Linked DNA regions of Caenorhabditis elegans. The protein of the gene in region 4 interacts with the protein of the main gene of each other region in a pairwise test. Each region holds a gene or a part of one and is shown on either strand. Other genes may lie near its edges.

The links.
Region 1: the proteins of abu-11 (region 4) and ruvb-1 interact in a two-hybrid assay, tested with the Caenorhabditis elegans proteins (one large-scale study listed by BioGRID).
Region 2: the proteins of abu-11 (region 4) and appg-1 interact in a two-hybrid assay, tested with the Caenorhabditis elegans proteins (one large-scale study listed by BioGRID).
Region 3: the proteins of abu-11 (region 4) and K02D3.2 interact in a two-hybrid assay, tested with the Caenorhabditis elegans proteins (one large-scale study listed by BioGRID).

Annotation. Positions count from the first base shown.
Region 1 is NC_003283.11:9,975,106-9,982,305, forward strand, and holds ruvb-1 (RuvB-like 1), read right to left. Parts: upstream 5,698-7,200; 5' UTR 5,592-5,697; coding exon 5,526-5,591; intron 5,479-5,525; coding exon 5,383-5,478; intron 5,306-5,382; coding exon 4,594-5,305; intron 4,537-4,593; coding exon 4,079-4,536; intron 4,030-4,078; coding exon 3,931-4,029; 3' UTR 3,686-3,930; downstream 1-3,685. Other genes in the region: unc-41 (Putative stoned B-like protein), read right to left, coding at 348-1,121; tofu-1 (Schlafen-like protein 1), read left to right, coding at 6,296-6,331, 6,379-6,583, 6,636-6,960, 7,015-7,200. UniProt on the Caenorhabditis elegans protein: Possesses single-stranded DNA-stimulated ATPase and ATP dependent DNA helicase (3' to 5') activity suggesting a role in nuclear processes such as recombination and transcription.
Region 2 is NC_003280.10:10,322,922-10,330,823, forward strand, and holds the start of appg-1 (Activated in Blocked Unfolded protein response), read left to right. Parts: upstream 1-3,372; coding exon 3,373-3,441; intron 3,442-6,722; exon of another isoform or gene 6,723-6,807; intron 6,808-6,826; coding exon 6,827-6,970; intron 6,971-7,014; coding exon 7,015-7,164; intron 7,165-7,215; coding exon 7,216-7,399; intron 7,400-7,794; coding exon 7,795-7,902. Other genes in the region: idpp-4 (Intrinsically Disordered Protein, expressed in Pharynx), read left to right, coding at 70-148, 223-330, 405-504, 558-622, 1,623-1,772.
Region 3 is NC_003284.9:13,706,235-13,715,104, reverse strand, and holds K02D3.2 (START domain-containing protein), read left to right. Parts: upstream 1-3,097; 5' UTR 3,098-3,140; coding exon 3,141-3,257; intron 3,258-4,393; coding exon 4,394-4,486; intron 4,487-5,286; coding exon 5,287-5,376; intron 5,377-5,417; coding exon 5,418-5,520; intron 5,521-5,563; coding exon 5,564-5,669; intron 5,670-5,955; coding exon 5,956-6,046; intron 6,047-6,273; coding exon 6,274-6,384; 3' UTR 6,385-6,486; downstream 6,487-8,870. Other genes in the region: K11E4.1 (Fungal lipase-type domain-containing protein), read right to left, coding at 816-911; K02D3.1 (uncharacterized protein), read right to left, coding at 7,468-7,614, 7,663-7,806, 7,867-7,988, 8,039-8,177.
Region 4 is NC_003280.10:190,230-197,467, reverse strand, and holds abu-11 (Activated in Blocked Unfolded protein response), read left to right. Parts: upstream 1-2,909; 5' UTR 2,910-2,933; coding exon 2,934-3,008; intron 3,009-3,653; coding exon 3,654-3,872; intron 3,873-3,920; coding exon 3,921-4,490; intron 4,491-4,552; coding exon 4,553-4,876; 3' UTR 4,877-4,959; downstream 4,960-7,238. Other genes in the region: chs-2 (chitin synthase), read right to left, coding at 397-483; T01D1.8 (ZP domain-containing protein), read right to left, coding at 5,429-5,536, 6,009-6,128, 6,175-6,382.

The DNA.
Region 1 (7,200 bases), on a different chromosome or scaffold from region 4:
AATAATTTTGACATTTTTAACTTTTCAGATGTGAACGATAGTAAGAATTTGATGTCAAAATATTTATAAACTTGATAAGCTGTGTCCGAAAAATGAGCACAGCAGACAATTCATGAAGCAGAATTGGCTAATTTTAAATTTTGAAAAACTTATAAATAGCTTTTTCAAGTTTCGAAAAAATTTACAATCAAATTTAAGCAGTTTTTAATAATTGTGCCATGTTTGGGCGGCAATGGAATTTTTGGCGATTGAAGAATTGCTGGATTGTCGAAAATTCTAATTGCCGTCCATATCTGCTCTAGACTCTTTTTGTATTCGGTTTTTTAAAATAATAATTAATTACTTACTTTATCCTTGTATTGTGGATTTTCATCAAGAATATCTCCTTCATAGTCATGAAGGGGAGTTGTTCTTCCAGATTGACTCATCCTTCGACCACCACCTCCGGGTATCTGATTTGCCATCGACTCGTAAAATTCTGAATATGACATATTCTCTGTTTTTCTCCTTCGACCACTTGGAATCGACACTTTAATCTTTTTCTCTGCATCTGTTGGAATTGTATCATTAGAACCATCAACACTTCCAGCAAAGAATGCGATTCCATCTAAAACACACGCAGATGTTGGAGTTGTAGGCCTTTTTCGAATTTTCTGATCATACGCGTGCCGAAGTTCTTCAGCTGTTTCAGCGAAGTTCAAACTTTTTGGAGGTGTCACAACTGGTTCTGCAGATGCTGCAAATACTTGTTCAACTTCTGCATCTTCTTCTTCGTCCCTTATCAAACTTTTGTGAAGTTCTTGTTCTTGTTCAGAGTGCCCGGGACCAGGTACTGCCATTTTATATTTCTGGGTCTCTCCAAGTTGAGGATCCACCTTTCCAGGCTTAACTTCAATGATTGTGTCATTTGTATCAGATGTTTTCATACTGACTCCTTCAATCATATCGATGTCAAGTGAAGCTGGTAATTCTGGTGGACCTTCATCTTCAATTGATTGAGTAAATGAACGCATTGCTCTCATTGAAGCTGCTCGTTCTGAAGATGACTGTTTCGATTCATCAGTTAATCGGAAAGCATTTCGGCCACCGTGTGGATCAAAATCACGGTCTCTCCAAGACATCTAATCTTAAAAATATAGGGACATTGTGATTAATGAATAAATAGACAAGAAATGAAAGAATTGGAGCCTGTCTAGGTTATTTAAAATTTGGGAAAAATCAGGAACGGTATGGGACCATGTCTTATGTTAAAAAAAAATTTTCAAGTTTTCTCGATAAGTTAGGGATTTCAAAAAATTGATAGAATTAAATTACTGAAGGCATTTTTGTATTCCCTTAAGTGATCTAATGGTACCTGTGGGTTTTTTGACAAAACATGCACAAAACATTCATTAACTAGAGAGTCATAAAACAAGATTCGTCAGACACTGTTCGGCTTAATAAGTGCAAAACAAATTTTAGCAACAAGATTGGAAGTATGGTATATTTGTATAGATATTGAAATAAAAGAAAGATTTATCTACTTTTTTAGTTGAGATAAGAGAAAAATTGGTTGTTTCTGTATATACATATATTATTATTTTTCTTGCACTATGCACCTCATTAAAAATTGATTAGGCATTGAATCTATTGGCTCAATTTTAGTTTTGTTTCAAAACAGACTATGAAAGGTTATTTTTTCACTTAGATTTTGGCAATATACTACGTCATTTAGTCAAAAAAGGTTTTGCAAAAGACAAGAAGAAACGGAAGAAACGAAAAATTTGTGTGTCAACAAGTGGAAACTTGATATTTTGGATATTTGGACCGGTAGTTTGGGTTTCAGCCGAAACACGAAATACTGAATCTAAGAATATATTGATTTTCAGATTATCCATTCCATTCGTTTCTTCCATCTTCAAAAAGGTGCCTAACCCATGAAATCTACCCATCAATCTGCCCTGTCTCTCCTTTTCCGCTATTACTCCTAGGCTTTCTATGCATATAAAATACGAAGAGTCATGCCTAAAAAAGAATGGAAGGGTTTGGAAAGAAAATATGGAAAATAAAATGAAAGTGGAGACGATTTTGAATGTCAAGACTCTTCTTCTACTTTTTCTTTTGAGTGCTTATGTATGAGATAAGTGATTTTTTAATATTTCACGAGTCTATTCTCTAATTGTAAGCCCCCAATTGCATGACTATTTATTAAAATGGTGCAAATAATATTGTTTTCTAAATCCATAAAAGTAGAATCCATTCTTCGAAAACTACACCGATTGGTAGTACTAGCACATTCAATTATAGATACGACGGGAGGAAAAGCGAGAGGCCTGAAAGGGAAGGAGAAATTGCGAATTAACTGAATTTTTCCTTTTTTTCTCAATCTGATTTTGACGGGAAAGAATATTCACAAATTGAACAAAATAAAGATCAGAATTTGCAGACTTGAAAAATCTTTTGAAAAAATTATCTATAACTTTTTCGTGTAATAGAGAAGTACGGTAAGCGTGAGACCCTTGGTTGACTTTAGCAGTTGTATCCCACTTGATCAAAAATATCAGTAGTAAATTTACAAAAGCTATAATGGAAAATCATCGAATACGCATTTTTCAGTAGGTAAGGATTCGTTAAAATGAAATACGATCTAATATATAATATCAATGTTCTGTTTCGAAATTTGAATTAGCTGTTGGCATTTTAAAAGAATCAAATGTATTGATATCTGTTGATGTAGCATGTTATTGGAACCTAGGTCGGTAATTTTTTGAAACAGTGACCTAAGTTACACTTTTCAAGAACAATGCTTTCTTAACTTCATTTCGCCATACAAATGTTCACTTTGCGTAAATAGTCAAACTCAAGCGGTATGTCCTCTAACAGAATGTAACTTTTTTGGTCTAAAAAGTGTGTCATATAATCAAAAGCTGATATGTTCTAATCTTCTACTTAATCTTTAGCCTGAAAGATATAAGCATGTGTAACGTAAGTCAATGTTGCAGTTTTTGAAGGAATATTCAAAAAACAGGTGGAATTTAGAAGCTCTTTTAGCATATGAAAAGTTATTGGTTCGAGTACTTTTGCACCAGGGGTGTGCGGCAAATCTCAAAATTTGCCGAGCTCGGCAAATTCGGCAAATCTACTTTTTTGAAATTTGCCGTGCTCGGCAAATTCGGCAAATTTGCCGAGCTCGGCAAACGGCAAATTCGGCAAATTCGGCAAATTTGCCGCACACCCCTGTTTTGCACCCTTACTAATAATTAATGATGGGAAAACTGAAAAACTCCATACTTCCATATTCTGAATGTGTCTATAAAAATTGCTAATAAGTCTATAACAAAAAAGAGAACGAGACATAAACACAGAAAGTTTGCAAAAATGAGCATACGAGTCTACTTCTTGTGCTCGGGGGGCTCCAAGCAAAAGCTCTCCCAGAAGACGTTTGTCTTCTCCTTTCGTCCTCGTTTTCTTTCCCCCTTCTTCTTCGTTTTCTCAAAGAGGAGGCGAATAGAGCGAGGAATAAGCGAAACGACGACTGCTGAGGACTATGTGCTCTGTCAGAATCGATAGAGAAACGGGAGAAAAAGAAGGGAAATGCCGCGGCGTCAGGGACGTGGAGAAGACGTATTACGAATTGCCGGGGTCCCTCTTTGTCGATTCTGTGCACTATGCACTCCTTCCGCTTTGGTGAACATTACGAACAATTCTTGAAACCGTTTTTTTTCTTTTTAGGAACAGTATAAAAATAGGAATCGAACAACAAATTGGGCAAAATGGGGGATCTATCGGAACGAAATAACAAGATCCTCAACATGTGGGGAAACAACTGAGGAAAGATCGAGAGGAATGAGATAAGTTGTAGAAGAAGAAAAATAATTTTAAAAAACAAGAAATGAATTGGCGAAAAATCAAAATTGGAAAACCGAGTCGTTGTGCGGATATGAATGGATATCACTTCTTATTTTTAGGTTGTCGCATCTCTTCTTCGGCCTTTTTCAACGACTCCCCACGATCCATGAACAATTTGGTACAACGGTCCACGTCCTCTACCTGAATAGCGATTTATTTAATACATGAACTACAACATTCTGCAACTTACTTCAATGACCTCTCTTCCACACGTTTGAGCACAAAGACGAGCTGGAGCAATCAATTGTAACGCATATCTCAATGATTTTTCAGCTCCAACTTTACTTAGAAGATCAAATGCTTTTTCTTCGAATTGAACATTTTCAGCTTCGGTACGATGAACGAGAATCTTCCGGATGTCTTCTTCGTTATACTTCATCGTTGGAATAATCATCAGCCGATCGAGCATTTCTGGAGGAATTCCATGTGGTGCCTTATCGCCGAGTCCACGAACTGTTGTGGTTCCACGGTTAGTTGCAAAAACCACGACGGGTGCCATTGGGGACTCGAGCGCGCGATAGAGATAGGTAAAACATTCTACGTCAAGCATATGAACCTCGTCGATGAAAAGAACACCAGGCATTAGTTCAGCCACTCCACTTTCAATGTATTCGTTGACTACTTTGTTGATTTCAGAACGAAGACGATCTAAAAGACAGAATAAAAATTGAAAGGTTCGAGTTTTAATGTTTATCAATCACTCACCAGTAACTTCAGTTTTCTTTGGAGTCATCAGCTGTGAAACAATGTTACTAACATCTCCTTGACGTCCTTGTGGACGGGCATTTGCGATATCCAGATCATGCAAAGACACGTTTTGAACAATATCTTTAGACTTTCTAACATCTCCTTTCGGCATTGGCACAAACTCGTCAGCCTCGAGGTCAAACTCAGATGCATATACATCACACCGTCCAACTCGTTTAACGATTCCTGAGTTCGCTTCAATATAGATGACATCACCAACTTCTACTCGTTGCTTCAAAATCGAGTCATAGATGCTTGGATCCAATTTCAGTTGCTTGCTTCCTTTTGCTGTTTTCAAAGAAAGGACAAGATGAGAGATGGTTTTTCCCATTCCGGAATTATCTGAAGCTTCGACGGGGCTCAACTCTGTAACTTCTCCCTCGTACACATCTTTGGTTTCCTTAACACGCAGACCAATAGCTCTTCTGAAACTTCTCATGAGCACTTCCGTTTTCTTTACTTCATTGGAAAAGACCTCGCTTGCAACAAGTGGCACAAATGGAACGCCGTCACCCAACTCCTGTGACATTGCAAGCGCGATTGCAGTTTTTCCAGTGGCGGGTGGTCCAGCAATCAATACAGCTCGTCCGGCCATACACTTCAATCGAATCATATCAACTACAATTGATGCAGCTGTTCTGGCGGGTGCTTGGCCAACGAATCCAGCAGCCTGTAGAAATAATATTTTATTTAGCATAGGCTTTATTTCATAAGTAGTTATTGAAATTGGACAATTGAAAAAGAAACCTCATAGTGAGCTTCTTGTGTTTCTGTGTCAATTCCGAGTCCCTTGACGTGACTGTGAGCCGCAATGCGTTTAATTTGCTTTGGAGTTGGTTTTACCTGAAAAATTCGATTTAAAATACTAGGTTTTTCAAAAATTAGCTCACTTCTTCGATTGGTGCAAGTCTTGAAGAAGAAGTACCAGATATTGCCTCATCGACTTCCATATCCATTATTTTACGAAAGCGTCAGCGTGAAAATAGAATGAAAAATAGAAATTTAGGGAAAGAAAATAAAATTCGAAAATGTGTGCAGCCATCTCATTTTACGCACAAATGCAGACAAACAGCAATGGAAGGAGACCCGAAGAACTCGGGGGATGTCCAACTGGGGGGATTACCAACTCGGGGGATTGGCCCCGCCCACAGAACCGTGGCTTGCATTACGCCCATTTCTGCAACTGCCGCACGGTTTTAAAACTGTATTTTTCTCAATAGAGCGAGAATTAACAAGAAAAAATAATTTTAAAACCGTGCGGCAGTTGCAGAAATGGGCGTATTGCAAGCCACGGTTCTGTGGGCGGGGCCAATCCCCCGAGTTGGTAATCCCCCCAGTTGGACATCCCCCGAGTTCTTCGGGTCTCAATGGAAGGGAAAGAGGAAAAAGAGATAATATTCTTATTTGAAGTAAATGTCAAATATAAGCCGAGAGTAACTTTTCTAAATAAAATGAATTTGCGAAAGTTGTATAATCACCAATAGAGATCCCAAGAAATTAAAAATGGCATTCCATTCGGGAACCTGTTAATGTAAAATAGCAATGTACCTTTAAAGTACGGTAGCACAACTTTGAGACAATTATCTGGAATTTGTCCCAAATCCTGCTCCCTCGACAATCCTTCGAAATCGAATATTCTGTCTCAGTTATTTTTGGAACAATGGCTGCGCTTTTTGAAGAGAATGATTCTTATTCGGTGAGTTTCTGGATTAACAAGAATAAAGTATAATTCAAGAATTTTAGGATTCCGAAAATGAAGAAGATTTTAGCGGCTTTTTGAGTGAAATCGAAGAAAATGAAAACGAGGATGAATTTGAAAACGACGATGAGTTTGAAGACGATGATGAGCTTGAAAATGTGGATGAACTTGAAGATGACGAATTATCCTCTGAAGAAGTGGACATCCCTTCCGAAAATGAAGTAATTGTCGAGCTTCACGATGGTCAAGGTGAGCAGTTTTATAGTTTTTTGCTCTTTTTCTGTAACAAAATATTTTCCAGCCGAAGTGGAGGAATCACTTCTTGATGCTCTTCTTGGAAAAGCATTGGCAGGAGATCAGATGAATTCTCGAATTGAAGGACTCTTCGAAGACTTGGACTCTTCAGTTGAACCTGATATCATCGATCGCAGCGAGTTAGAGGATGTGGACAGTGGTATTAGTGTTGGAGCTGTTAGTTCTTCCTCTGCAGAAACTCAAGCTTCTGATGCGAAATGCAAAAATAAGGATGCTTTCGACATGTCTTCACTTAAGAAGTATATGCAGTACATCACCGAAGAAGAGCATGCCGTATCAGTAGAAGATATTCCAGATTTTGCTTCCAAAAAGTAGGTCTTGAAGCTTTTCTGAATATTTTCTATTTCAACTCTTCATCCTTCCAGAAATGTGTATGGAACCAGCTTCAACGTTCGCAACGGAATCATGTCTCGTCCACCTCGTTTCGAATTTGCTCGTCACGATCAACGCTGGATCGATTCATGTGTATCCATGGCATACGAGAAAGACAAGACATTGAAAGAATTGATCACACTGGGAAAGTTGACAACAACTGTCAAGGCTGGAGCCAA
Region 2 (7,902 bases), about 10 Mb from region 4:
ATATTATCAGGAGATATCGTATCACATACCTTTTCTTCCAATTTCTCATCTACCCCCTTAATATTTCAGTTCATCTGGAGTTCCGGGAAACGAATGCCAATCGAATTGCGCGCCAGCATGTGAAGACACTTGTACTATTGTGAAGCCCGTAAGTGAACAACAAAAAAAATACCGAAACAAAAAAAATGTTTCACGGCTTATAAAAAAGAGCAAAGTTTGCAGGTCGCCGTTGCCACAACCACTCAAATTCAATCGACGTCATCGAGCGGTGGTCAGTGTGTTTCTGTTTGCATGCCAGCTTGCACTCAACAATGCATGTTTACTGTTCAGGTACGTTGGGAAGACTTGTGGGAATTAGATATTAAAATTATTAGGTTCAGAAGTATCAAAAAGTAATTTTACAGATGCAAATCGCTTTGTCACAAGCCGTTCCTCAAACAACTGAGAAACCAACTCAAGCCGTGCTCATTCCAATTGCACCAGTTTCGATTGTAGTTTCAGATCGTGGGTTGAGCAGATCTTTGAATTGCATAAAATCATAAAAATAATAATTTCAGCACCCACCACAACTGCCGCTCCAACTGTCATTACTCTTGGAACTATTTGTAGGAACGAGTGCCTTGTAAGATTTAAAAAAAAACTGTGGATTTGGCTCCCACTTTTTGCTTAAGTTTGGCATAAATAATATTCACTTGAATCAGAAGTTGGCTGGATTTGGGCAGATTTTGGGCAAGACTTGGATTAAGACTGGTCCAAAGTTTAATCCAAGTTTAACCCAGCTATTGCAAAGCCCACTTCAAAGGCGACACCAGTAGGCGTAGTTGTTTTTGCTTGCCTAGACAACCTACTAGCAAGTACCTAAAGTGCTAGAAAACTATTTATTATAGGCTACTGTAGTAATATTCTTGATGAATTCGGCAGAAATATCTGCTGATTGGTACATTTTAGGCACGAGCTATTGTAGAGTGTAGACATAAACAATTTAAACTCCCTGTATCTTTTTTATTTCTAAAGCTCAGCTGCTGTCTGCCCGCCAAGTGACCACCCACTTGAGATTCTCTGAAATCCTTGTATCCTCTCCCCGAGCTAAGTGAGAGCTTGTTCACAGGTTCTCGGTTAGCTATTTCGGAAACTCTCTTTCAAATCAACTCAGCCAGCAAGAGTGTGTAAAACCGAAGAACATTGTGCAAATACAAGGAAAAATATCCCCCTGCCTCCCAATAGGTACTCGTTGTTCCACACTACTTCTCTCCTCATAATTCTATTGTTTCCGTTTTAACTGTTGTGTGTTTCGAGACATTTGTTGAAACACAAGAAACACAAAAAAAACACAAAACAATAGTTTTTGAAGAGGTGTTGAAGTTGCGAGGTGTAGAAAAAACAATGAGCCTCTTCTCAGGTCATAAAATCCACGAAAAAGTGTAAAGTGAGAAGCTGAAGATTAAGGGTCAAAAGAATAAAGTCATCTGAGAATTGATTTCCACTAATAAATTTTACCGATTTTCAGATTTTACTGTATTGGCTTACAATCCCTGAAAGTGTTGTCTATTTAACTTAGTAGATCCCAATTTTTTACCTCCTAAAAAAGTTCTGTGAAACCTGATCCAACCTTAATTTTTCAGGTCCAATGTGAGCACCAATGTCTTCCTAACAATCCGAACTGTATGGCAGCTTGCCAAACGACTTGTTACCCAGTATGCCAATCGAAAATGCGTCGTCGCATGAAAGAAACGAAAAATCAACGAACTGAAGATTTTGCTCATCGTCAGTGAATAATCAATTATTTATTTATTGATTCGATTATTTTGTATTTATTTATGTACCATCAGTATTCTAATGTTTTTGGGAGTAATTTAAGATTTTATGGTAATTTGCAATTTGACGAGTTAGTCAATGTATGTAGCGAATAAAACGTATTGAATTCAACAAGCCATTATTTTTATGAACGCCAAGTCGGCCATCCCAATTTAAAACATCCAAAATCCCAATATATATTTTTGTACTTTGATACAATAATTAATTGTGTAAAGAAAATACAATCAGAATACAAATTGACATGTATCATTTCGAAAGTTCCCATACAAGAAAATTATTACATTTATCACTTGAAATTAAGTTGGTCCAAATATGTTAGAGCTAAAATTCTATTGAGCTCACTATCAGGACTCCGTTTGTTCAAACATCTTTATTTATTTCAGTTGAATAAAAAAGTTGCCGAGACATTTGAAATATGGTGATTGAATGCAAAATCAATTGCACGTTTTTCCGTGAAGAGTCTAGACAGTTGGGAAACTTGGAATGATAGCTGAAAATATGCATGTTCCCTCAATAATGTGAACCGCCATAAAAAAGTTATTGGAAAATTTCAAGACGTCTCATTGCGAATTTCAGGCCATTTGATACCTTCAAGTCTAATAGGGCATTGTCCCAATTTTCGGTACTCCTTCAAATCTTAGCAAATCAATAAAACTGGCAAAATAAACAAAAAGATACATTTATAAACGGCCTCCTATTCCAACCAAAATGGAATATTTAAACTACTTTACTAGTCTGTATTTTTAAATCAGTACTTATATTCTGTAAGTTCTAAATTAGTACAGAACACAATATCTCAGCATTTCTAGTTCAACGACAACGAAAAAACTTATAATTTCCGTTTAAATTTGTATCAAATTGAAACCTCCGTCACTATCTTCATCGAAACAATCCCAATTTGGTTCACCCCTTTGCTTTTTCCTGCCACTACAATCATCAATGTATGCTCATCAATAATCATCCTAATCACCAGCTTAATCACACAATGTCCTTTCTTCTCAAGCATGCCCCCATTCTAAAAAACAAACATCGGTGGAACAGACAAGAGGATGACCCCCTTCCGTCCTTTCCGAACTCTCCAAATTAGTGCCGATTTCCTTCCCCGCAAAAAGTTCGGGTAGCTCTCCAGTCGATTCAAGCGGCCAACAACGAACATACATTGACAATTTGTACATGGCGAAATACAAACAAACAGGATTCAAAAATTGCCTTGGGAAGCCATGGGGGCTCTCTCGTCCAGCAGGAGCACCAACGCGTCAGGCTGTCCTTTTTGCCGCGCGGAAATGCTCCGCCTCTGAGCGCGCATTCCGCGAAGCTTTTACCGCCCTCCTATCGCCCCCTCCGGAGAGCTCTTCAAGCAGTAAGAGAGAAGCAGAGTGAGAAATAGATTTTGAAGGATTTGTGTGTGTGTGTGTGAAGACTTATTATATACCATTTCTGTCTGTTAATAATCTTGTATCCGTACTCTTATTCATATTGTTCATCACTTAAATTCATATACAGTAATCCAATCCCTCCTGGATCTGAGAATTAGGAATCAATCATAAAATCTTCCCGATGGGACGCTCGAATTCTCTTCGGCTACTATTCTTATTCTGCCTTCTTTTGGCACTTTCTACTGCTGCGGTGAGTTTATTTTTGGTTTTTTGTTGGTAGTTACTTTGACTTTATTTGCTTTTGAATTGTTTGCTCGTAACTTGACCTGCTCGGTAAACTGGACTAATTAAAATCCTTTTGAAACTTTTGCGGTCAACCACTGTTAATTAGTCAGATATTTGTCTTCTCACAAAATTAAAGAGTTTTATAACTTATTTTATACGAACCATCTCTTATTAGCTTACTTTGGTTTGGTAAATCTTTATTTTGGGTGTGAACTTTGGTATTAACTGTATCGAACATTAGGTAACAAGCCTTCAATGTCTGTAACATAATTTGTAAACTAGATTGTGTTTCTTTAAGAGTCTTTGTTGCAAGTTTTAAATTTTGTGAAAATACCGTTTTTATCAGTATTAGAAAAAATTAGTTCTCTGCAATTTCTGAAAATCATTTTCTATGGATTTCTATTTTTTCGAAAAAATAATTCTATTGAAAGTACATTTTTGAAGATTACAAAACTTCAATTAGTCTATCCCTACAATATTTTATGTTGTGGGAACAATTGATGGGTTTGAAACTAGAATTTGATGACGCAACATTTTTTTTTAATTTTGCAGCTAGTGAATTCTAACAATTGCAGACTTTCTCTCTAACAGATTAATCAAAAAATAAATTAAAATTGTTTTGACCTTTTGGGAGCAATTTTATTCTAATTGTAGGAAAAATAAAAAACTTGTAAAAAAATTCAATTTGAGAATGGTTCCAATTTGGTTTTGACGGTTCAGTTTTACCATAATCCATTATTTCAAAACTACAAGGAGACAATCTTGGAAAAACGAGTCATGTTAGTATACCGGCTCTGTGACATTGATGCCTACCTGTGCGCCTACAGTATTTTTGTAGTCGACTGCAAAAAGCATGGTATGAATGTAGTAGGTCACTTTCAAGTCGAGTTTAATGCCTACATTGAGTGTCTGGTAAAAATGCTACTAAATATTGCTCTAGACAAACTCACCATTAAATCATGCATTAACCCAACTTTATTTCGAAACATTTTGATTCACATGGGCCAAAGTCTAAAGAATTTTGACAAAACTCCGCCCCGATTCTTTGACCCGATTCCTCTTCTTTTTATTCCAAATCGAGTTTTCTTCCCAAAAAGCCTGCTCATTCCAAGACAGTCAAACGAAGGTTTCTATTTCAATTTAGTCGGCGTCTCGTCCATTTCCACTGGCTCCAAGGTCTCTGTGTTGCGCGAGAGTTTGTTTCTATTGTCAGGCAAAGGTGAACACAATGAAAACAGAAAGTAAACACCCATTCGCCAGAGAGAGAAAAAGATTCGGTTTTTCTCCCAATTCTTTAACATCATGACCCCGTCATACACACAAAATGTCTGGTGAAATGGAAATTGGGTGAGAAGGAGAAAACATTTGAAAATTTAGAATGTTTCTTCTTCTTCTTCTTCATGGGATGGTGAATTAACAAAGGGATGCACAAAAATGGAAAAAGCGGAAACAGGAAACATCTGTTTTGAAACCGATATTGTTGCGAGAAACCGTAATTCGAAAACCGGAAGATCCTTCCATTTTTGGATTACTAAAATTACTAGACATCAATAAAAAATTAGTTTTTTTTAACTATAGCTTATGCTTCAATTTTTATTGGATCCAAATATTTATTGTTCACACATAGTCTCTTGGCTCTGGTACATTCTCAATTAAAATTCAGTAAAAACCCCGCAGCTTCCTCGAAATAGCGTAACTTTCTGTCAAGCTTTTTGCAATTTTCTGACATTTTCCTGATGAGAATCTTTTCCAGGAACTTACCTCCAGCAACTTATTCGATCATATCTTTAGAAATTGCCTAATTGTTTGCAGAAAGTTGATCCAAAATCCCGAGTTCACCGGGAAGGCTAAAGAATTTCCAAACTTTGAAAAAATTTGAACTGAACATTTTTTCATGCTGCCAAATCTTGATTATGTATCTTACCTCCCGTAAACTTTTTTATCTGAAAATCCACAAAATCTCCAGGTATATTGCCGAAACCGCCTCAGACCCACACACACGCAATAGTTCGCCCCACCAAGTCCTAATGTTTGATTACCGGGGGCGTCGTCTTAAAAGAGTCAATAGATGAATGACCAACCGGGAAATCGGATATCCGATATTCGAGAATGATATCGCCAAGGAAATGTGTGTGTGTATGTGTGTGTGTGGGATAAGGAAAGGTGATAAGGGGGCCCACTTATCAATTGTCACCTTTTCAAGAGTTTTGTTGCACTACGTAATAATAAAATCAGCGATTTCCGTATTTGGTTGGAGGGAAAATTAACGGTCTCCTTTGAGCAAATGGAACTAGATAAAAAATAAAATGGTAACCTCACATTTTGGAAATTACTTCAAAATTGAAAAGCAAAATTCAACTCTTTTTGATTTCTCTGTACAAGAAGTTCCTAAAATTTTTATCTATTTGAAAACTATTGTTCGTTTGGATTACTCTACATTACAGTACGGATTACAGTACGGGAGTGTTGTGTATTCGAAGGCGAGACGAGGAGAGAAGACGAGTAGTTTATTACATTACTAAACTAAGGAATAAATAAGTTAGTTCATAGAGTTCACGTTGCACGATCTTCTTAGCCACGTCGTGGGTCAATACACGTTGATACCCAACAGGGAGGGTCACGGTAACAGTATAAATTGATGTTCTATTTGTTAATTAATCATCAACCAACTCAACTTTAAGTTAGAATTTCTATGACTTGACATACTTTAAATTGGCATTTGTTGGGAAAATGTGTCTTTTTACACAGTAGTACAACTGTTTACACTGTTACCGTACCCCTACCGTACCCAGCCACAATGTTACAGTAGCACCAGTAGCATTCAAGATAAATTTTGCAACAGTACTGCTACAGCATTCATACCGTACTACTACAGTAACCCTAAAGTGTCCCGTCATAAATCTTAATTACAGCCTTTTCGGATTAGAAACGATGCAAAAATTGTCCAAAACTTTTAAAATCCACTAATCGATCTTTTGATCTCATTTCCCTTCCCGATATTGGCTCTCTAAAAATCTCTCCGAATTCATAATACAAGGGTTGTTGTTGAGCAGAACTAACATATTTCGAGTGGTTTTTCTCACGAAACAACACATAAATCTATCGTTTTTGTGTATGTGGACACTCTCGTCTAGACTCGGAATATGCCTTCCGCGCCCGATAAAACAAAGAAAAATTGTGTATTGTTTGTAGATTTGAAAAATAAAAAACGTTTTAATAACTCGAAAATGGGAAAACACATTTTAAAATTAGAGTTGATAGACTAAACTGTTTTATATACGCTTTCCTCCCAATAGACATGTGTCTACGTGACATATTTAGTTTCCAGTAATTATCCTGTCCATTTCCAGAGTCGCCGTTTAAAGCGTCAATGTGGATGCTCAAACTTCTGTAACTGCCAGCAACAACCAGTCTTCTTCGCGCAAATCTCCTTGCCGGCATGCTCGTGCCAACAGGCGCCAATTTGCCAACCACAATGCCCGAGAGCAGAAATCGTAAGTTTCAGAGTTTTAGAAATATGCTAAGCAGTTTATTTCAGAACTCTGACTGCTCCGCTACATGTGTTCGAGCATGTATTCCATCTTGCTCCAAAAGCACTGGAAACACATTTGCATGTTCCACAACCTGTGAGAGCACTTGCGATAAGACTTGTGCGTCAGCAGCTCAACAGGCTATGTCGCATATTCAGGTATACTCTGTATCGATTTCAAACTGATTATAAACTATTTCTGTGTTTCAGGTATCCCCACCAAATCCTCAACCACTTGTTCCAATTGCCGCTGCTCCAACAGTAGACGACTCCTGTCAGAATGTGTGCCAGAACGTGTGCCAAGGAGCATGTGTCTCACAAAACTCTCCACCTGCAGTGTGCCAACAAACTTGTAGACAATCCTGCCAATTCGGATGCGCTACCAACGAACAATGTATGTTTTTGAAAAACAAAAATTGAGAATGGAAATTTGAATAACATCTATTCACTTTATGTCAAAAAAATTTTGATCGGCTTTTGAAAAGGTTAATTCAAAAAACTTGGTTGCTTGAAAATGGTATTTTCAAATATTTTAAACCAATTGACTACAAGTTAAATAATTAAATTGAACTGCATGTATTCTGAAAGAGATAAATTCCATATGGTTTTTAAACAAAAAAAAAAAAATTATTATTTAGTATTACTTTCAATATGTGAGCATTAATTCCTATTTAAAGAGCGCTGAGTTAGTACGGTAATACATGAAGCCGAAAGCTAAAATTATAATTACCAATATTTTTAAAATTTATAGTTTACTTGTCTTATTCATAAAATAAATTTATTTTTCAGTGCCCACGACATCTTCTACCTCAACCAACGCACCAACGATCAAAATAACTCTTAACATCAACGATGCTTACTTCGACTCTAACTGTGCTCCAAAATGCACTCAATCGT
Region 3 (8,870 bases), on a different chromosome or scaffold from region 4:
GTAAGAATTCAATTTTTTTTTGATTGAAGACCAATAAATATGTATGAAAACTTTTTCATAACATTTTGACAGGTACATAGAAATTATGTATGAAAATTTTTAATATCACACATTATAGGATCCTTTTTTAAAGACAAAAATATAAGCCCAATGCGGGGCTCGAACCCGCGACAACCAGATTAAGAGTCTGGTGCTCTACCGACTGAGCTAACCGGGCGGCAATTCAACACCTGTCGTGACTTACTATTAAATAAATAAGAAAAGTCAAGTGATCTTGTCACTTGTCATCTCACGTGCGAAATAGGTAGAACAAGGCAAAATTTTGATCAGAGAACATGGGGAATGTACAGAGTTTCTCAAAATCTAAAAATAATACAGAACTTTGCTTGTATATAGACAAAAAGTTTGTCTGTCTTAATTAATATTATTCGGATTAAAATCTGGAGCGATAAACGTTCCACCGGTCTCGAAACAACTTTAATTTCAATTTCATATAAATATTTTTGAGCACTCCTCATTTTATTTACCCACCAGTAGAACATTACTTGAAGAAAGTTCTTTGAAAGTTAGCAAAGTATACAAAGAAGAGAAACATATATTTTTCTATTGAACATTTAAAATCAGCGCTTGTGTAACGTAAGGCTTGCGTCAAAATTTATTGAAGAGACCACCAATTGAATGTAAACAATTTCCAATTTGCCAGAAAGATAAACCAAGTTTTTTATCAATTTGAAAGTTTGGAAAGTATAATGAGAATCTCGTAGTTTGTTTTGTTTTCAATTGCAATAATTAATTTTAGGCCAATAAAAAAGTACCCGTCTTCCGGAATCCGAATCATAATTCACAAGACTGTTTGCTCCAACAATGCAAAACAAAAGAATGACCAATATGGTACGGCATCGAACAGGCATACCGAGGTGAGGTGCGATGCGGATTGAACACAATATTAATATCGATACCCAACATGTCGAAAAAGGATTTGGCCTCTTCGAATGTATGTGTGTAGATGAATATAAATTTCGATCAATTTTGTTGGGCAATCCGCATGTTGTCGTCAATCTTTGTAACTTTGATACTTGAAAACGTTTTTTCTGTTCAGGTTTGTTATAAAAATTGATGGGGACTGCAATCTTTTTTTTATAATGGCCATGTAAATTAACAAATGAATAAAATACCGAAAATATATTGTTTTGAACTGCATGAAAATGTTGCTTTTTTCAATTTTTTCAGTTGGAAAAATTCATCCAATTAGTTCCCCTATTCCACCCATTATATCTAGTTGAAACTTCTCTTGTCCTACCTATTTTACACGTGAAATCGCAGGTTTATCGCGTGATTTTTCTTTTTTATTTAAGTAGCGACAGGTGTTGAATCGCCGCCCGGTTAGCTCAGTCGCGAGTCGCGAGTCGCGGTAGAGCACCAGATTCTTAATCTGGTTGTCGCGGGTTCGAGCCCCGCATTGGGCTTAGCTTTTTGTAAAATGAACATCGTAAGAAACTAAACTGATATTTTAAAAATGCTTAATTAGTACGAAATAAATTATTCTGTTAAAGAAAAATACTGTTTTAAATTTTATTGAGCATTCGAAAAGTGATATTGCTGGGATGGCTCGAAAAACAATTATTCATGTTTAACTCGTTCGACTTGGTAATACCTTCTAAGTATATTAATTATGTCGTTGAACTTTTTACGATAATTTTTCAGTGTTGCCGAATTCTTGAATTCCCTTTGAACCCCTCTTTAACAGAATTACTCATTTTTCTGACCAACGTATAGTAATGTTATTTACGTGTCACATCTTACAAGTCATGCAACAATTATACAATGTTTATCGCTTATTCTAATAAACAACTGATTGAGATCCTAGCACGGAAGTAGTTTTGTATCCCAACAACCATCATTGTTTTCCAAAATACTCTCATGTGAGCAGGAACACGCAACTACTTATTACACTGATCCCCCTTGCGTATCAGGTATGTAATTGCCACCTTACCCACGTTACAATGAACTTTGATAAATTGTGCTCCTATAGACGTGCTCGCGGAGGAAGCTGCGACGTCACGCAAGAAGTGTGAGAAGAATCATGTACATTTGACTCTGTGTTGCTACTAAAAATTAAGTTAATCCCAAACTTTTGATCTGTGAGGGTTCAAAAAAGAGTTTGAGCTTTTGTATTAGCACTCAATGATCAGAATGCTGAAAAAAATGGTCGGCACTGAAAAACCACTAAACAATATTTTCAAGATCAGAGTGACAAAATAAAGCAATCATTCTCAAAACAACTAAAATTGATTTACTTTTAGTGAAAAAATTTCATAACTTTAGCTGTTGGAAATAGTTTGAAATTGACGAATTCTACAACTAAGTGGAGTTTTCTCAAATATTTTTTTTGTGAACAGCAGTTCTTGGTGTTCCATGGAGTTACACTTTGTTTTCACACAAAATGTTGACTTTGAAAAACTCTCAAATTCTTGAATCTGAAATATTTTTTGAATTAAAATTCCATCCACCTAAAAAAAAAAGAAAACCGGTTGCACTTAAAAAAGGGCAATAAATTTGTGCCAACCCAGAATTCAAATCGCATTCCCTCATCTTTGGCAGCATTCCAAGACGGTAAACGAAAAACGACGTGCAACACAGTAAGTGCGTTTTCAGATATCAATCTTTGTCCGCCATGCAATTCCAGCCAACATATCCAGTTTTGAAGGGCAATGATGCAAATTATTGGCTTCAGATGAAAGCCGTATGGAAAATTGTGTGGCCACTGGGTTGACGGGCACGCTTCGTCTTTTCACGCTTGTCTGACGTCGCCGCCGCCGCCGCCGACGGAGATTGATTGTATCGCTCCAATCGAGTAGCGTAAGCTCGAAATGGGGATGGAAGAACATTGCATATTCATTGACAGTTTCGACAGACCTCGCATTTCTTTTTTTTTTGTACCTATGCTTTTGATTCATTGTTTTTTAACTAACTTTAATTTTATTTAACTTGTGAAAAACTAAAACAATATTGAATATTGCGCATTCAATTTAAAACCATATGTATTCATCATTTCTTTCACATCACCACAAAACAGTTCAGCGTCACATAATTCCAGGTAATCTTTTAATCCGTCACTCTACACCACATTGACCACAATGATGCCTGCCACAGAGACCAGCGATTACCATGCCACGTATGATGCGGCTATGCAAAACGCTGAAAACCGTGTTTTTCATCTTTTGCACTCTTTGGAATGGCAACTTCATTCCGAAAAGGTTAGAGGCCGAAAAAGTACTGCGGGGAAAAAGTTTTGAAAACGAACCAACGTATTGGTTCATCAATAGATAACACTGTAAAATGAAAGTTATCCTTAAAAGTTTTGATAGTCAAGTAAATAATCATTGATATTCGCCAACCAAATGTAATGGGAAACTCTCATTTTAGAGGATTCTGGTGTTTTCTTACTTATTGAAAACAAGAAACTGATGTTGAAATTGGATGCGGCGCAATTATGGAAACACAAATGGCAAAAGCGTAACGGTCGCGGCAAAACTGATAGGCACTTTTACCTTGATAATTTTCATTTTTCAGATTGTTTCGAATACATTAACAGTTTAAACTTAGAGTTTATCATTCTCTGCGCTTTCACATTTTTCCCAAAAAAGTTACAGTAGGTGTAGGATACCTAGTGATAAAGCTCGTGAAGTCGGAGAAATAAAGTTAGTTGCAAATAATGCGATTTTGTAAATCTTTTTTGAATGAACGATATTCGAGATATACAAGAATTTCTAACAACATGTCGTGTTACCATAATTGTGCCGCATCCTGTAGAACCCAAAAGAAATAATGATAAAACCGAAGATAAACTTGATCCTTCAATTTTGGTATGCTTTATTCAAATTCGAGCATTTACAAAATGCAGATACTAGAAGTAAAAGTTTTTTCTGTTAATCTGCGCTTTTGAAGCAACTGTTTCTGTTATATGTCATTGAAATTTTTTTAATGTTGAAGACAGTAATAATGTAATTGACTGTAATTGTTCGATAGCTCTACATTAATTTTAAATCAAAAGTTTATTTCCTAATGTAGAAAGGACAACTTTTAGATCATAGTTGATACATCTAGCGCTCTAAAAGTTTGTTTTCTATGTTCAATTTTGAGAAATTGTGTATTGTTACATGCAATATGTCAGCCCCACAGTTACCAATTCCTAATATACCTAGGTATGTACCTAATAATTCAAATTCAAACTTCACAATCCCACGATACTGACACACTGTTACATCGTTATAGGGATCACGAGAAAACATGTATTTTTGAGTATGAGAATAAATGTGCGATTTCGTTTATCACCCTCATTACGTCAGAGTACAAACTCCCACCAGTGGCCAACATGATATTGTTGTTTCAGAAAACCGGAAGCATTTGGAGCATGAGATGCAATGTTATGGATAATTACATTTTCCGCTACGAAGGGCGCATTCCGAACAGAACTTGTGCTGAGGTAATGTAATCAGGGCTTGTTAATGGAAAAACTGGAAAAGAATAAAAATGGTGATCCTTGACCGATAAATGAAGGGAGAATGAGTCAAAGTATGGGAATGAAACCTAGTGTAGATACAAAAAATTTTTAAGTCCACATCAATTTAGTATAGGTTTTGGTAATTCATGAATTATTGAAATATTAGGGTATATTTTTGTCAATTCCAAAATTTATGAAAAACATTTCCTTGTTGAATTTTGATTTATATTTGATCAGTTCAACATCCTAGTAGAAAAAATTTGAAACAATTACTCCATTTTACATTTTATGCTTTACATAATATATGCTTATATGCAGTGTTCTATTTTATTTTCTGAAATAACAAATTACTCCATGATTTTCGTTTTCCTATCGTGAAACAAGCTCTGAATGATTTCTTGAACTCTTATTCTCTATGTAATCTATTTACTGATACTTTTTTAGAACTAGCTATTTGAACCCTCAGTGATCATAAAATTGCAATGTTCATCGAAAGACTGACACATCAACTGTCTTATTTTAAAGATTTTCACCACGCAAACATGAGCGACAGATCAGATAACACGATTTTGGAACGTGTTTACTTTGGTAGCGTTTGACTCTGCTTTGTAAATCGTTGTGTGCGGAAACAGAAAAATAATTAGAGACTAGATTTTTCTAAGCCCGAGCTGAACAGCTTGGGAGATAAACAAATGAGACAACATTTCAAAGAAGTGGTGAAATTTTGTACCATGTCAGAAACTCAGAAACTCTTAAAACTAAAATTACATATCAAAGTTTAGGTTTCTGCAATGATACATCCGCAAGGGCTTCACCGCAACAAATGGGACTCCCAATCAGCAGGAACAAGCCTTGTCGAAGAGATCAGCTATGTCAGTTTAACTTCTATACTTCTCCAAAAATCAAATTTCAGGATACATCAGTGATTCTTCACAAAACAAAGGGTAGAATGATGGGCTTGATATCTCCACGTGAAACACTTGATTTGTGTCGTTTCGCATATGATCCTGTTGATGGTTATAAAAAGATTAAGACCTGAATTTTACATAATTTTTTTAGGCAGCCGTTCGGTAGTTATGGTTAGTGTAGATCATGAGAAATCGCCAAGAATTGCTGGTGTGGTTCGAGCCCAAACTTATCCCACACTTCTCATGCTTAATCCCCTGTAAGTTTTTTGAGGCGCAAAATGCCGGCCTCACGCCGACGCTGTGTTTGCAATAAAATGCGAAAGTTAGTTATTTGAAGCGGCCGGCACGTTCGGTGTTCCGCAACTTGGCGTAAAATAAGTCTCTTGGTGTGTGTGTGCAAAGTAGTACGAAGAGATGGTTGTTTGAAAGCAGCCGACACGTTCCTGGTTCCGCGCCGCACTATCATCCCCACAAACTCTGCTCCCATTTACTAACAAAAACTTCAATATTGTGTTCCCAACTAAAACTTTTCAAAATTTCCAGAGGCGACGGTGTCAAGATCACATCGATTGTGCAAGCAGATTTGTACCTACAAGGTGTTCCACAAACCATCGTTGATACATTAATGCCAAAGGTATACTGATTATGTACATGAATTAATGCTTTTGCTGACAAATCATCAGCTAGTATCAGAGCTCAGTTTTTGTTTTCAGATTACAAACTAGAAAAATTTTATCAACATTTGTTTTTCTTGAGTCGTTTAGTGGAAAAGATTAAAAGCATAAAGTATACGCACAAATTGACTCTAGTTTGCGAAAATTTCATATCATTTACATCATATCATAACTAATTAAATTTCAGGGAATTGCGTCATTTTTTGAAGACCTTCAAAAATATGCCAGCAAAGATTGCACGAAAGTTTCATTGAATCATCAGCTGACAGGATGGTGTGCTGCCCATTTGGAAAACTAGAACTTACCTGAATGATAACTTTAAATGTTTTTACCATTTATGTTTTGATATTTATATACACTTGTCTAAATTAGGATACCGAATAAAAATTTGATTTATTTTATAGGGTTGGGAAACGTTTTACAATTTCTAGGATGCGGAAAAAAGTTAGAGACCAATAGAATCATTGAGAAATATAAAACATTATTATGCTGTTTAAATTCTCAATACAATATTGTTTTTTAAGCTATTTTTGTTTTTTATTCTATTGAAAATAGCAAGACAAGTAGATTTTGTATGCACATTTTTATTGAAAACCTCAGCTGACTGGTGACACAAAAACCAAATCAGAAATTTTTCACACAAGCTTGCAAGTTTTCCATACTTTTGAAAATTGATACTATTGCCTAGGGCTCCTATGAGGTTGCCGCAACGGCGTCGGCTGCGCGACGTCTCTCACGCCACATGTATAGTGCGGCGCGGAACGCCGAACGTGTCGGCCGATTCCAAATAACTACTTTTCGCACTAAGTTGCGCACACACCAAACTACTCGTTTAACGCCAAGCTGCGGATCCACGAAAGTGTCGGCCGCTACAACTACCTACTTTTCGCACTTCATTGCACACACACAGCGGCGTCGGCGTGAGGCCCGCTTGAGGCCTGCACTTCGCGCCTCGCTCAGCTGGAAGCCCTACTATAGCCTGAAATAGACAAACTACAGCAGCGAAAAATGGTTTTTTTTTCTGAAAAAAATCTGAAAAATCGATTTTCCAAAGCATCAAAAACAAGGTTCACCTTTTTATTTATTCATAAAAAATACATGCTCATAAATACTATAGTTTGGTTCAGGAGCTAACAAAATAAATTATAATCAACAAAAATAGGGCACTACATAAATAGGGAAATCTAACAACGGTGAATTGGATTGTAGTTAAAATTGGAATTTAGGTAGTTGTTAACAGTAGCTTACTCGTAGAAAAGATCTTAATGGAGAGAAAGTCTGATGTGTGGGGTATACCACGAGGTGGCAAGCGTAGTGAAGCAACTAGAGAAAAAGGGGGCGGGTATAGAGCAATCGAGGACAAAGAGAGAGAGGAAAGAAGTTACTGGGAGTTATTCATTTTTTCGATAATACGGTCATTATTTCTGTCTAAGTAGTCGAGAAAATCTTCAACCTCGGCTGGAACAAATTTGAGATCCTTGTTATGTTTTAAATCGTTGATGTAGTTGCGAATCGGTTTTTCAAAATCCTGAAAATTAAACAATTTTAAAATGTTCACAAACAAAAAACTGTCTACCTTTAACTCTTCCAACTCCAAGGAAAGAATTTTTGGCGCATTTTTCGGGAAGTTTTCCAATACAAATTGTACTAATGGTTTCTCTCTTATCTCGACAATGTTGCAACGTGCTAGGCATTCTTCTGAAGCGCAACAAAACTGCTCCTGAAAAAAAAAACGAATGAAAATTTTACTGATATTACTTTTTTTTAATTTGCAGCAAACCTGGAACAAGTCGATCACTTGCATTTTTGGCACTTTTCCAGCTTTGTACAACTGAACGCTGGGTGCTGTTAGGACAGCATCCCTGTTCCAGACCCAGTCTCGTGGTTGGATGGACGCATATTCTGGAAAGGATAAATTTTAGTAATAACTATAAGATTATCATCTCAACTACCTTTGTATGGGCAAGTCATGGACTTTGTGCAAATTCTATTGACTAAAAATATTATTTGGTCGTCTGATATTATGACCGCACAGTTCATCGAGGAAGAGCAGGCAGAAAGGAGAAGTAGGATTGCTACCAATTTACTCATTATTGCTGCAAAAGTACAAGTATTTTAAAAAAATTACACTAGAAATTTCATAAAATAGAGAGGCAGAATGAAAAATAATAAGAAAAAATTAACATAAACATCACAGTTCTAAAAAGATATAGTGGATCAAGAGCATTTTATAGTAGCTCATGACGCTTTAAATTTGAACAATTAGCATGACACTCCAACCCCGCCCATTTTTGAACTCCACCCCTTGTTTTCTTTTTTTCTTATTATCCTCTTTCATATTTTTTAGCTTTGCAACAAGGGCGGAGCAACGGTTTTGTTGTAAAGAAGGATGAAAGGTGATAGAAAAGAGACGCAGAATTTGAAGACAACAAGGTTTTGGATAGTGAATCAGAATGGAATTCGGGCTAGATTTAAAAAGCAAAATGAATATTGCATGTCAGAATTATCTCAAGATATTTAATAAGGGGAAACTTTAACTGAAATGAGTAGAAATGAGCCTGTGAGTAGAGAAAGGCAATTTCAAATAAAAACCACACAACATAAACTTATTTGTATATTATAATTTAACCCCGTGTAATCAAAAGTTAGCTGGCTATTGTAAAAAAATGTTTCTATTTTTGATATATAATAGGAAAAGATTTAAAGAGTTTATTGACAAACATTACTTTTGTTTGTTTCTAATAATCTACAAGTTGGAAACTGAGATTTCCGTTTTTTGAATAT
Region 4 (7,238 bases):
ACACCACTTAAGAAAAATATTTAAAACACTGAATTTTTCAATTTCCGACTCGGAAATTTTTTTAATCTGAATTTTTTTTTCATCCACTAAAACAGTGAAAAAAAAAACCATCACGGGATTTTTCCAAAAAAAAAAATTCCAAAAAACTTCCAGAATACTTGTCTACCTCGAAACAGCTTAAAAATCATAGTAATTTTTGAAAAATTATCATTTGCGGCAATTTAACGGGCCTCTAAAGTAGTGAAAAAAAGCAATTTCAGAGCGACTTTTATTCTGTTCAAAGTGCTCCTCTGCCGCTAAAAGTTTTGTGGGGGCCTAGAAAATAATGATGCGCTTTTATGAAATAAACTTTAATTACAGAATGTGAAGGAAATAAATGTAGAAAAAACAACTAACCAAATGATCGAGAGGGACCTGGGCTCCAGTATGTGAGTCCTGAACCCACTCCTCCACAAACTCCTTTTCCTTATTACCACTGTCCATCCTAGCACGTCATACTATGGCAAAATATGAAACTGAGCCTCACAAGGTCTCTGCCCATCGGCGATTTCCCCCTATTCAAAACCCATTTCTTCTCACTTTTCATGTTGTATTTGCCTCCCAAACAATTAGTTGTTGTAGCTGTCATTGAATGACCTGCGGGTGCCTGTGAGCACCGGTTTTCAGGCAGACAGGATTGTATTCTATTAGTGAGTAGACGAAAAGGAAGAAACAACGTCTGATTACGTAGGCAACGACCAAGCATCGATACATTATTCAAGGATCAGAAAATCAAGCTCAATTGTTTTGGAAATTTTTAAACATCACTTTTTGAAACTGTCTACCTCTTGGACTACACGTTGAGGTGCCAAAAATTAATTTCGGAAAAAAATCACAATAGCTAAAACCTAAATTTGGCTTTTTTTTCTCAGAAAGTTGATAAACATATTATGTGTGAAACTTCTTTCAAATATTATATTTGAATCAGGGATGGGCGGCAAACGATTTTTTCCGGCAAATTGCTAAATTGCCGGAATTGAAATTTTTGGCAAATCGGCAAACTAGCAAATTGCCGGAATTGAAAATTTTCAGCAAACCAGTCAACCGGCAATTTACCGATTTTCCGAATTTGTCGACAAAAAAACTTCCGAACGGCAATTGCCGCCCGCCCCTAATTTGAAAAGTTTTTGTATAATACGGTTCGACAGCCGTACACATTTTTTGTTGTGTAGCTCTCAAATACACGCTGTGATTTGAGAATCCATGCATCTGATCTTTTGCAGAGTCTTCCTATCGAAAAGAGCAAATTTCTCAGTACCCCTTGATCTTTTGTAGAACTGCTCATTCACAGCATCTAATCCCCCCACACGTCTTAACATAATTAGCATTCCTACATTAGCTACTACATGTGTTGATTATTTGTCTAACAAGATAGAGATAGTGTATACATACTTCCGCTCTCATAAAGACCGGTCATTTTCCGTGCTCATTCTCACTCTCGCAATGTTCTTCCCACACCCTTGATCCTAAGGAAACATGCTCCTCAAGAATAATCTCTTGAAAAGCGTGAGCGATTGTGGTAACAAAAAATCATGAGTATCAATGAAAACAATTCAACGGAATTTGGATTTGGGTGGGTGTGAAGGCGCTGTAAAAAAATGTAATATGAATTTAAGACCTCTATCTGCAAAAAGGTACAATGTAATTTTACAAAGTATTCAAGGTTTCCCTTGAAATAATTTTATAAAAACATTCGTACTAAATATCGAAAACTGCACCAAAACTATTTGCCGAGTGGATTTATCAGTTTCCCGCAATATTGGCAAGACTATCAGGTTATATGATATGATATTAGTATGAGTGCACCTCCACAAGAGTAAAGATGCAATGACTAAGATCAAAAAATTCCATTCCGCTTTGAGCACAAAAAAGATTCAGCGCTGGTAAACTAGTTCTCACCAAGTTTAGAACATCAAACAATTGACGCAATTTGTAGGTCATAGACTGGCAGGTTTTTGATGTTTTACATGACAAGTTTGAGAATAATGAAAGCAATCTTCATACATTTTAATAACTTTTTAAAGAGTTTTTAACTGATATCTTCCTAGAGCAACAAAAACAGCTTATATTTGCAAACATAACCATTTAAAGTTGAAAATGATACTTTTGCCATTGGGTTTTGAATTTGTCAAAATCTTGTTATTAATTTATTTTACTCATGTAGTTTCTAGAAAACATGTCATTCGTCCTGAAACCCCATGGAGCATACGTTATTGTCCTGTCAGAATGTTATTACGTAATATATTACTCATGACATTTACACCATATACAAAAATCTATTTATTTGCAAATATGTTCCATGATTATTTTCTGAGCAACAACAATTATATCATAGTCTAGACTTCACAGGGATAATTAATGTTGTTGGGAAGAAAAGTAAGAACTTTAGAAATGGTGATTGACCGAGTGAACTCTCAAATATCTATTTTTGTCTTTGTAATAACTCTATGAGTAATGAGGAATGAGGAACTGAATTTGTGACTGCAAATTAATCAGAAAGATTATTTAAAGAAGAAAGATATTTTGCTGTAGTTTGTGATGGCTGCTGAAAGACCACCGGAAGACTTTTGACATCGACCAAGTCCTGAAAGATCACGTCCCTCCAGTTCTTCAACTGTAACCCTTGTGAATACTAGAAAGTAAAAAACAAAAAAATAACAACATGTCAACATAACAACACGCCCTCCCCCTCTTGCTCTGCTCTTCCAAACACATGAGCACACACACACACAGGCACACGCAAAAAATTTGGAGACGCATCACTCGAAGAAACCGGAATTTGGGACAGAGGTGGTAGTAGAGGAGAGGGGGCGATGTTTAACTGATTGCAACGGGAAGATATATAAGCAAGAGCATGTATTGGGACAATCATCACTCACTCTGACAAGCTTGAAATGAACACCAAATTTTCAATTCTCTTTTCGCTTTTGGCGGTTTCAGCACTTGCGGTGGCTGCTGAGGAGAATGTGGTATGTATTATTTTTATGAATCTAATTATAAATATTTCATTTGTTCCCCTTTTCTAACTCTTATATTATAAATACTTATTTTTTAATTTTAAAACATTTCGTGCTCACTCACAAGCAATTGCATAACTTGAATATGAATTAAGTAAAATATAGGAACTTCTTAATATATGTTTCAAATAGTTTATCGTTTGACTTCATTATTTTACTACTGAAAATTTAGCAACAGGGGAGTATTTTGAGCTGCAAAAAAGTCGTTCTGAAAAGTTTTCAATGAATTTTTCACAACTTTCGAACTATCGAGGGCAGTAAAAATGTGCCAAGTGTGAATTTTTGCTGACTTTCAAGAGCTTCTAGCATGTTTAGGAGCTGGCTAACAATCGTAAATTTTTTTGGAATTTTTAATTTTTTGAAAAAATCTGAAATTTTTTCACTCAAGGGGTTTTTCTGATTTTCAATTTTACGGGCTTCTAAAGTAATAAAAAAAATACACTAATAGCAACTTCAGATCGAAATTTTTCTAGTTCTAAGTTCTCCTCTGCCGCTTAATTTTTTTTGCAAGGGCCTATTTAGAAGGTTTTTTGCAAATGAGATATTATCCAGAAGACTAAAAAATTAAGTTGAAAAATTAAGTCGTTCCTTTTTCAGTTCCTCCGCGCTCGTCGCCAATCTTCATGTGGATGCGCCATTCCAGCTGCTCCACAATGCAACTGCCAACCAGCTCAAACCAACACCGCCCAACAATCTTGCTCCTGCGCTCAAGCTCAACAGCCATCAAGCTGCGGATGCGCTCAACAGTATCAGCAACAACAGTGTGCACCAACTTGTCAGAGCTCCTGTGAACAGAGCTGTGTTGCCCAGCAACAGGTTAGTCAAACCAAATTCAACCCAGTTAGCCATTTCATATTATTTAAGCCAATCGCCCAGTGCCAATCATCTTGCTCTTCCACTTGCCAGTCCGCATGCGCTCAGCCAGTTCAGCTTCAGCAGCCAGCTCAGCAACAGTGCCAACAAGATTGTCAAGCTGCTTGCCCACAACAACAACAACCACAGCAACAGTGCCAGCAGCAATGCCAGACGACATGTCAATCCGATGATCAGTACTCTCAACAATTGATCCAACAGCAAACCTACGCTCAGCCAGGACAAATCCCAGCCTACACCGGAAGATCCGAGTACAATACTGCCCCACCACAACAGCAACAAGCCAGTCAATGCAATACCTGCCAAAACTCGTGCCTTAACACATGCCAGCAGCAACAGCAGCCAGTGCAACAGTGCCAATCATCATGTGATCAATCGTGCCAGCCACAATGTGCCACGCCATCTGGCTCCGCTTACAACCAAGTCAACTACCAGCCACAGGCCCAGAACAACTACCAAACCAACAACAACTACCAACAGCCAGGAGCCATTCCATCATACCAAGGAGCTTCCCAGACTGCTGCACCAACCTACCAGCCATACAGAGACACCAATGTTCAGGTAACATATTAATAGTATTACTTCTAAATCTAGATTTAAAGAAATCCAACCTAAATTTGTAGGTCGGAGGAACCATCTCCCAGTGCAACACTTGCCAAACCCAGTGCAACCAGGAATGCCAAGTCCAGCAGACCCCAGTGAACCAGTGCGCTCCACAATGCGACGCTCAATGCCAGCCAGCCTGCTCCCCAGCTGCTCCAGCAGCTCCAGTTCAAACGCAACAACAAATTCAGCTTACCATCAATGTTCCAGTTGCTCGTCAGTCCCCACAGTGTCAGCCACAATGTGAGCAAAGCTGCAACACCCAATGCATTCAGCAACAGCAACCAATCTCGCAGTGTCAGCCAGCTTGTCAGCAGAGTTGTTCGGCTTCCTGCAGAAAGTAAATTAACTTTAATTATTAATTTTTGGGAAAAAATAACTTTGTGATGGTTTTTTGTGTATATTTTGATAAATAAATTGTTTTCTACATATGTTCATCTCCTGCATCATACATCTTCACTAAATATTTTATCATTATTATTCCCTCTTGGGATGATAATTACAGAGAAATTTCTAGAATAGAAAAATTTATGAATCATTCAGTCATGTAAATTTTAGCTTTCAATCTCTATAATCTGCGGAACATCTATCTTCTTTTTTTTCTTTTCCACTCAATTTCTGAAACTGAAGTTTTACCACAAAAGCTAAACCCACCAATTACGTGTTATATTTGAAAAGCGGTAAGAAACTTAAAATAATGAACGGTCATCAAGGGTGTTACCTGCGTCAATAAGGGTTTTCGGTGTTTAATTCCAGTCTTTTGGGAATATTAGTTGTTATAGATTTTGACACAAAAAACCTCCACGCAATAATAATTAAACATTTCGTACATAAATCCTGCGTGTGAAACTTTTTGAAAAATTTTATTAGACAAAATGTTTTATTCATATCATATCTCAATTTAAATATCTCGAAAATCGTCGTTGGTTTCCACATCGAGGCCTCTGACACTGTTCATGGTCCTTGAACAGCATTTTTATATTGCATGTGAAATGAACAGCCGTCTGAGATTTTAGAAGTGATATTTTCCACACGATTCTTAAAGGTAGAGTAGCGTCAGTGGGGAGAGTGTTAAAAACTACTCATTTTATAGCAAAATGACCAAATACCATAATAAAACTTTTCAAAAATTTTTAAAGAATTTTTTGTTTACTGTCAAAAAGTGGCAATTACTCAGTTTTTTCATTTGCCACTCATAGTTTTGAAAGTCGACCAAAATTTGTTTCCTACATTCTTTATACTGTAATTTTGTCTTGGTTATTCGTCTTGAAACATTATAGAACGTCGGAAGATGCGACATTGCCTTAGATTTCCTCAAAATCTTTTTTTTTTTTGAATAGGGAAATTTGCCAAAACTTTGACCGGAAATTATGAAAATCTAAAATTTGTTGAGTGTTTTATTATGATATTCGGTGGTTTTGGGTTATTATAACTGTAGACAAAATTCCCACTGGTGCTATTCCACTTTTAACTTACCGTGTCCACATCCAATGCGAACGCGTGAACCTTAATTCCAGCTGATAAATCTCCTTGATATGATATATCGGGTAGAATGTTTGGGAACACCGAACACCCATTCTCGTCGATTATTTGAATCTTTAAATGATACTCTACTATTGAGTTGTTATCGACCTGCTCTTACCTTCCTTGTTCCTATTTCTTCCTCCCCGCTGTCTGAAATCGTGCAATTATTGACCATCACACAGAACAAGTAGTTTTTGTGATCGCCACTATAATTACAATTCCACGAGTGATAAATTTCATCTCCAATGTTCACTTTTGATGTCACAATTCGTCCAAGTTTGTCTGATCCATGATGTACACTGTACTTGCATTCTGGTTCAGGAAACCTACAACGATGGTTCAAAAAGAAATAAATTGAATGTTTTATGTTTTTCCTGATTTCAAAGACGATATCAATCCCTCCGCAATTGCCATACGGCAATTTTTTTGTCGACAATTTCGGCGAATTCGGCAAATGTTTTGCCGATTTGCAAGAAATTTAGAATTCCAACAATTTGCCGGTTTGCCAATGTGCCGGAAATTTTTATTCTTGACAAATTGCCGATTCGCCGTTTGCCGGACATCAGTTTTGCCGAAAATGTTCAGAGGAACTTTTTCTCTCTTGAACAGTGCTTTTTTTAAAATTTTTCCTCGTATTCTTTAGATATTTTCGTAGAACTTGTTTTTTTTTTTCAAAAAACTCCCCAGTTTCTCGTGCAACTCAATTCTCAAAGGAAAAATAGTCAGTCCATTATCTTAATTCAATATTGTTCAAATCCTTATCTAGTAACTCCATACGCACACATCTATCGCTTCTAGCCTCATAGCCATCAATTATGATTTTCAGATATTCTTCTCGTTTATGACTATTTTTCTGCGTTTTCGTGTGTGTCGAATGTCTGCTAATAAAACCCCTTGATTTGTTACCGCTGTGCTGAAATTTTTGGGCGGAGTCTGCTGCTGTGCCACCTCTACCCTATGAGCTTCATTAGGCTTGTCGACGACACATTAAGCTTTACTTTTCGAGTGTCTATAAAAATATTTTATGCGCAAACTTCTAGCTTTTGTCAGAAATCTAACAAATGCCGATTATTGTTCTTACACGTACTCCCCAATTAGTCTAGCGAAGTTTGTCTGATGTTTGCTACCAAATATATACAAACCACACTTCCTTAAAAGACAAAGGCTCGCCGATTTGAGAAA